2 linked regions of the Arabidopsis thaliana genome follow. The protein of the gene in region 2 interacts with the protein of the main gene of each other region in a pairwise test. Each region holds a gene or a part of one and is shown on either strand. Other genes may lie near its edges. The genes, in order: AT2G42660 and MYB6.

Region 1 (4,154 bases), on a different chromosome or scaffold from region 2:
GAATTCGATAGGAGTGTTGGAGAAGATGAGGTTGCTGATGATCTCAATGCTTCTGGAGATAAGAAGAAGAGGAAGAAGATGAGTAGTAGTAAGTCTGCAGTGAGTGGGAAACCAGACATTGTGAAGAGTAAGAATGGGCAAAAGTCGAAAAAGCTAAAGAAGGACATTGATGAGTCTGGTGGTGGATTCAAAGCTAAGACTAAGAGGAGGTGAACCAAGAAAAGAAGATTTTATATTAATGTCGTTATAACTAAGTATTCTATTCTTTCTGCTTGAGTGATTTTTTTGGATACTGATTATGACTTTGTCTTATTATGGTATCATCATCATGATTCTTATATATTTAGGACTTTTATTATCGTTTACTATTTCATCAAACTAGTGACTTGCCATGTAGTTGATTTGGTGGTTTTGACGAGGAAACATATTATTACATGTGTTTTGTTGCATTCCAGAATTGGTGTTGTATTGAATGCAGAGAAACCGCTAAGGATAAGTACTTGCAGGATCTGACTCAAGCCTGATCCAGATCCTGGCTAAGTACTCATCCCATGAAACGGCTAAGGAAAACAAAAGTCTCTACTCTTGAATCTCTTTTAAAGTTAAACTTCATCTCTCTAGTATGTTGGTTACGGTTCTGATGATGTCGACAACAGAGAGAGCGAGAGCATTGTGTTGATATCATCTGTTGGTTTTTGCCTGCAATTTCCAAACTCAGGCAACTGTATCCCACCTCCGGACATTGATTTCAATCGTTTGACTGATGATACTTCTTCATCTCGGACTCTTTTCTCATTGTTCTTCTTCCTAATCTGCATAAGATTTCACCAAGATTACAGTACCTTCCTCGGTTTTTAACAAAACTGTTCCTCTATAACTCTTAAAACGAAAGTAGGTAGTTACCTCGAGTAGAGGCAGAGTCTTGTTCTCTGTGCTGTCTCGGTCATTTCTGCATAACCCGCTAAACCAGCTCGAAGGTCGCATAAGAAAGTTACCTCCAAGATTTGTAACGACCGCGTCTTGATTGAGTACCCTACAGAAAAGAATGCAATTTTAACTTCCTTGGTCGGATCGGATATACAAATGTGAAACATTTTAGTAACTGGAACTTGTTTCTTTGTATGACCTCGAAGGAACGGTTTTAGAGTTATAGGCATGTCTTAAATCGCTATGAGGGATACATCGAGAGTCGATCATGTCCATCAAATAGCTTCTTTGTCCACTCATGAAAGCTCCAAATCCTGTTCAAAAGTCATTTCCATCAATTATGAAACCCAGTGAAGGAATGGTAAATGTCTGCGGATCAAAACTAACTTACCAGGGCGAGAAGACGGCTCGAGCTTCTTACTTCGATACATCTTGAAATCAGAAACATGAAAACATTGAAAAAGATGAACAAAACTGAGATAATCTTAGAATAACAGACGATGAAGATTACCTGTAAATGACTCTTGACATGTGCAATACTCAATCCTTTTAGATTCATCATCTCAAGAACCAATTTCGGCGTCGCTCCTTTAAAATCATACAACAATTACATTACAAAGCTGAGAGAGAGAAAGAGAGAAAGAGACGTGGAGAGAGAGAACAAGAATCCTACTGTCTGGACCGCCTAGTCGTTGGACAGCACGAACGAAGGAGAGATGAAGATCAGGCGTCCAACGAAGCCGAGGCATGTTGGACCGAATATACTGTCTAACGTTATTCGTGATTTGGTCTTCGTCTTCCACTGATGACTCTTCTTCATTGTTCTTCTCCACTGTTTCTTCTCTGTTCAGGTCAAGCCACGTGGAGCATTTTCCCGGCGAAGATCTCCCGGCCATGTCTCTCCGGCGAGAGTGTCTTTAGCTAGCTCTCGAGATCAATTACTCAAAAACAAACAAAAAAAAACCCATGAGAGAGGTTAAATCTCTATGATAATTTCGGCGTTGGCTTCAATAATACTAGCTATAATCATATATATACACTTATAAGTATATAATATAGTCTTATTTGTCGTAAACTATAGTATATAATTATATAGATATATAAAATTCTTATCTATGTCATGCATGTTTACGTATAATTGTATGTTTTTTTTTAATGGAAAAGTGTGTTGGAATCTTCCGTTTGGTGAAATCACATTAGTTATTAGGTTTTGCTTCATTTTTGTTAACATACCAGAAAAATATCCGTTTGTTCTTTTAGTGACAATGACATGTAAACTTATCTCCTTTACTTCTTAAAAATAATATCTTTCTTTAAACAAGATTTAAATATGGTGAATTTGAATATGAATTCAGATTCCAAAAACTATACCATTTCTTAAAACATCTTCTGTTTACCTAACGTGCCTTTGATATATATCATGTGACAATGGCTAGGCTATTTAAATTGGTTAATTAATCATATATTTGATATCAAGCATATTGGTTCAAATAGTCCAGTCTATATGTATACACAATTGGCAGTCGAATATTTTGTGTCATTAGAATTGTTGTTTTGTGAATGATGTATCAAACATTTCAATCCGACCAAACCACTCTTGTTTTTCTAACAATTTTCTCTTTAATAATTTCCAATTAAGTTGACCTTTGCCGGAGACTACGCTTTACCCTTTTGTCATATTAAACCACGTTTTTGAGTGTCTCCAAAACAACTTAAAAAAATAAAAATCAGATTAGCATTGGGGAACTCAAACGGAACATGAGAACTATCGATCTAAGCCGATTGATTCGAACCCTGATAGACAAAAGGTACAAACTATTGTCTACCTCTCAACCGATTACTATGTGGTGGAATGAATTACGTTTCTACGCATTTGGTTTTATCATGATGGCTATTGATCTATATTCATGTTTCTCATATACTTAGGTTAAATACATGACGGTCTTCAATCCCAACGTTTGAAAACAGAATTTAAATAAAAACTTAAGAGAGAAGGGAGTTTTGTCAAATGGTTAAGGATGTGATTCCCAAAGATTCTTGAGTTCACGTATGTACAAAACAGAAGTTGTCTTTATCTTTTTGGTTTTATTATTGGTGACCCTTTTCAATGGGCATTGGGTTACACACCTCCATATATTAGTATTTGGTTTCTCTTCGAGAATTGGCTAACTATATGTTTTTGTAGGGCTTACCAACTTACCAATCAGTATATAATTCGAGAGAGGTAACTAATAAATAATTACGGGTATATTATCTTTGAATGCAATTTTTTAATTGTTCAAATTAGGCAAAGCAACTTTCTTTCTAGAGTGCAATCTTTGTCTTTATTGTCATCTTGTGAGTTGAATTAGTATTTGTAAACATAGATAAGCTGTCGTTAATCATAAATTCTCAAAATAAGTTTCAAATCAAGAAAAATAAGTACAAACACTTTTTACAAAATTGAACCAAGTTTTATGTGAAATTAATAAGGACCTCAAACCCTACACCAAATTAATTATAAATCGTCCCGATGCAAATTTCCGACACTCTATGTCTATGCACACACATATCTATACAAGCATTTTGGAACATATATGAAAACGCGATGGGATCAAATTTCAACGCTCGTATTCATATAAACACAGCTTGAATGTTATAGAATTTCTATGAAGTCTTTTACCATGATCGCCCTCGATCTTCAAATCTAGGGTTATGGACAGATAGAGAGAGAAAGAAAGATAGGAGATGAGAGAGAAGAGAAGATAGGACAAACATTCGAAGTAATTAACTAAGATTGAAGAGAGCATTGATGGGAGAGAAGGAATCGTAGAGGCTCATGTGGGCACTAAGAAAGATGAGGAAACTTTGTTTTGTCCTAACCTGTTTACGTACCGACACTTCATTCACAATTCCTCCATTTCCCATGCTCTCTTTTTATGGAATATATAATTTCAAATTGTTTCAATAGTTCTTGAATTTCTTTAAACGACATGAATTTCTTTGGTTAAGAGAATCTTTTGTCGAGTTCTACTTCTTCCAAGAAAATTCTTTTATATTTTACCATTTCAGAGGATTTTTTTTTTTGTGAATGTTTACTAGATACGTTTTATATGTACAAACCATTTATTTTTTGACAAAAAATATAACAACTGTTTCCCTAAAGGACGTTTTATATGCACAAAACCATTTTTAAATGTAAAAAGGACGTTGATCCAGTTGATATATTTATTTATTATGCATGCAAG
Region 2 (4,178 bases):
GGTACACAATATGGTTTTAATGATAGATTCTGCCACCTACCTGCCTAAAACATGTCACATGTCTCCTCCCTTATCTTATTCTCTTATTCTATATTTCTTTATTTAGTAATCAATTTGTATCTCTTCCAATCAGCTGCTTCTTCACATTCCTTTTCAATGTTTACGTCTATAGTAGTTCTTTTAATTAATTTCGTTGGCACCAAATTACGCTACAACTATAAGTATTAATAGAAGTTCTCAATTCTAGTTTTTTCCTAAACAATAAAAAGTTCTACAAACTAGAAGTTTGTTTGTTGAGATGAGGACCATGTGTCCTAGCACTATATATAAACTAACACCGAAAACCTAATGAAAAAAAATAGTTAACATAGTGAACGAGATATTTGTTGAAACTTGCTAGTTGCAACTATATGGTCCCCATTATAACCTAATTCAAGTTTCTAGAAGCTTTTGCTTCAAAAAACATATAAAAACTATGATCTATACCAACATGTAAAAATGGATAACGGTTGATCCATAAGAAAGAGTCCAAAAGGGACCAACCATGTTCACATTTCACTCCTACATTTATACTTCTACATTTTATAACAATATTGTCAAAATAAAATTCAAATTACTCATTTGCATTCCTAGACAATGGTGTAATATTCTTATATATTTCCATAAAATTATTTTGGAAACCATGTATCGTTTTTTTTCTTTTTCTTCAAAAGGTAATATGAACAAAAACTAAAACAAAAATACCAAAGAAACTGAAGTAAAGAATTTCTATATTTATCCAAAAGGACTCAAGCAAAAAAAAAAATGAAGTAACAAAACCCATTTTTTGGGATTTTTTTGACAAATTATTACAACAGTGACAAACGCGCCTCCATCACCGGGTCGCACCACGGTTTAGAATCAGCCGATGACCCGACTCCGACTATCCGACCCGACCAGGATCCAAACCCAAGAGTTAAATCCAAATTCAGCTTTATATGTCCTGAATTATCACTATAATAACACTCCCCATTCTGCCGGAGATCCTCGTCCGTCGTCGTGCCGCTAGTCGAAGCTCCGTTATCGGAGGAATTTTCCGTCTTCGGTTTAACGGCTAAATTGGAAAAAGAATACTCAACGGCATCGTTTTGAATAGGAACAACAACTTGAGACGACACCGTTTTGGATTCGTTAATCTGACGATGAGTTTGTGGATCAATACCGTGACTAAGAAGCTTCCTCTTAATATGAGTGTTCCAATAATTCTTTATTTCGTTATCTGTTCTTCCTGGTAATCTTCCAGCTATCAATGACCATCTGCAAAACAAAACATTTCAAATTCATATGAATAACAATAACAGAGGAAAGCTTTAACAAAAACAGAGGAAACAAAAAAGTGAACGACTCTGTTTCCTAGAAAGTTGAAACTTTTTTCCTGGGAAAGATCAAAGAAGAAGAAAGAGCAGGAAAACAAAGTGACCCAGTTTCTATTTTCTCTCTGTTTCCTAGAAAGTTGAAATCTTTTTCCTAGAAACAAGAGTAGGGAGAAAAAAAAAAGTGACTCTGTTTTTCTATTTTCACTCTGTTTTTTTAGAAGAAGAGAAAGAGAGGAAAAAGTTATCGTACTTGTTACCGAGTAAGCTATGGAGTTTGATGATGATTTGATCTTCATCATCAGTAAAATTACCACGTTTAAGATCAGGACGAAGGTAATTAATCCATCTCAATCTACAACTTTTACCACAACGCAACAATCCAGCGGATTTAGGAAGAGAACGCCAACAACCTTCACCGTGATTACGGATATAATCTACGAGACGTTGATCTTCTTCTTTAGTCCAAGCTCCTTTGTTTGTGTGAGCTTTTTCACAACAAGGAGATCTTCCCATGGTGAATGAAGAAGATGGTGTAAGAGAAGAGAGAAGAGATCAATTTGTGGGTTATATAAAAAGGAGGAGACTTTGACTAAGTTTGGTATATGTACATGTGACTATGTGGAGATAAAGTGAGGCTGTGCTTTGCTGTGTTGTGTGTGGGGTAATGGAGATTAGGTAGGTAAGTAAGTAACCTTCTTTTCTCTTTTTTTCTTGTCTCTTTACTTTTTCTCCTTAGATTTTGGTTTTTGTTTTTTTCTTTCTCTCACTGTTCTTATAATTTAGTTGGTAGTTAAGAAAAATACAATGCAAAAATAATATTTATCAAACATGTTATCTTTTGGAAAAAAATGTCATTAAAATTCTCAACTTATTGAAAACTTTGATTTAAATCTTGAACTCTCGGCGAACGAAACAAATATCAAACTTATGTTACTTTCCAAATAAATACCAAACCTTCTTGACTTTTCAAATAAATATCAAACTTTTGTTGACATGACTATATTAGGCATGATGTTCAGTAGGTTAATAGACCTTGAACGTTTAGTGTGTTAACATACTCGTTGATTGAAAACGACAACGTTTACTCTAACAATAAAACGTCATCGTTTTTGTCATAACGGCTCAATTAAATCTCCAGTTTCAAATCATATGGGGATTTAGAGATAGGAATTTTGCTTGATTTAGAGATCTTAGATTGAATTTGGGAATTTAGTTCAGTCATTATTACAAAACGACGTCACTCTGTTGTTGGAAACAATAACGTTTTGCATTAATGGGCCTCTGTTAACAAAAAAATTAACTCCGTTAACGGGATCTAGTAATTTACTTAACAGTGTGTCTAATATCGCCAGGTCAACAAAAATTAGATATTTATTTAGAAAGTCAAATATTTATTTTGTTTCGTCGAGAGTTGAGGATTTAAATCAATGTTTGCAATGAGTTGAAGATTTTAATGACATTTTTCCCATTAATTAAATTTAAAATTAACAAAAGAACGACGTCGTATGAAGGAGTTCTGAATTGTTTTAGTTAAATACAGTTTTTTAGTTGTTCCTGAAGAGAAAAATAAAACTGTGATTATTTCTTGACAAAAAATGTTTTTATTTTGCTTATCTTTCAATGGAGTTTTACATCTTTCTTTTATAGACTTCTTTAGAACAATCTAGAATCCTTGACAATGCTATCTTTAATCAATAGCTATTTATTGTGAATTACTGCAACGGCAGCGACTGCAACGGCTTGAATTTGTTTTCAAGTGTTATTGTCTTCTTCTCCGTATTAGTGACAGTCTTCTGTTTTGCAGGTAAAGAGCTTTTGGTCTTTATCTTCTTTTGCATATGTTGACTGGGCTTCTGTAGTGGGCTTTGTTGAGTTTGGGCTACCATGTCTTTGTTTTTGTCAAAGCCCGTTCTATTTATTGGGTTGTCTTCTACACCCTCCTTCAAACTTGGCGTGGGTGAGACCGGTGACGCAGACACGCCGAGTTTGGCTCTAAGCGTGATAAAGGGCCGTCGCGGTAGTGACTTGGTGAAGACATCAGCAAGTTGAATAGTTGCTGGGATGTGTTGCGTTTCTATGAGACCGAGAGCCACACGTTCCCTGATGTAGTGAAAGTCTTTATCGAAGTGTTTAGATCGTTTATGAAGAGCAGGATTTGCAGAGAGGTAGACAGCAGATAGGTTATCACAGAACACTCGTGTAGGTTGATGTTGAGAGATTCCAAGATCTCGGAGAAGAGAGGAAATCCAAGTGATTTCTCGAGCTGTATCGGAAAGAGCTCTATATTCGGCTTCTGTTGAGGAGTGAGAGATAGTGGGTTGTCTCTTTGCAGACCAAGATATCAGAGTAGATCCCAAGAGGATGCAGAAACCAGTAGTGGAGCGTCTAGTGTCCTTGCAGCCAGCGTAATCACTATCGCAAAATCCCGAAAGAACAGGGTTGTGGTGTTTTCTGATTGGAAGCCCCATGTTGATAGTTCCTTTCACATACCTGAGTATGCGTTTGAGAAGGCCAAAATCAGAGTTGGTCGGAGCGTGCATTCTTTGGCAGATGAAGTTCACGGCATATTGAATATCCGGTCTTGTGATTGTTAAGTATTGTAACTTGCCAGCTAAACTCCGAAAGTATGTTGGCTCTTCAAAGGGTTCTGAATTGAGGTCTTCCAAGTGTTGTGGCAGAGGGGTAGGCATAGGGTTGCATTCTGTCATGCCTGCTTGATGAAGAATGTCGGAAGCGTATGCGTGTTGATGTAAAAATAGACCATTGTTGTAAGATTCAATTTCTATACCCAAAAAATAGCGAGGAGGCCCAAGATCTTTCATC

The links.
Region 1: the proteins of MYB6 (region 2) and AT2G42660 interact in a two-hybrid assay, tested with the Arabidopsis thaliana proteins (one large-scale study listed by BioGRID).

Annotation. Positions count from the first base shown.
Region 1 is NC_003071.7:17,766,436-17,770,589, forward strand, and holds AT2G42660 (Homeodomain-like superfamily protein), read right to left. Parts: upstream 1,945-4,154; 5' UTR 1,824-1,944; coding exon 1,601-1,823; intron 1,516-1,600; coding exon 1,439-1,515; intron 1,359-1,438; coding exon 1,319-1,358; intron 1,242-1,318; coding exon 1,127-1,241; intron 1,034-1,126; coding exon 904-1,033; intron 813-903; coding exon 630-812; 3' UTR 615-629; downstream 1-614. Other genes in the region: AT2G42650 (Ribosomal protein L1p/L10e family), read left to right, coding at 1-213.
Region 2 is NC_003075.7:5,990,709-5,994,886, reverse strand, and holds MYB6 (myb domain protein 6), read right to left. Parts: upstream 1,980-4,178; 5' UTR 1,869-1,979; coding exon 1,606-1,868; intron 1,297-1,605; coding exon 849-1,296; 3' UTR 629-848; downstream 1-628.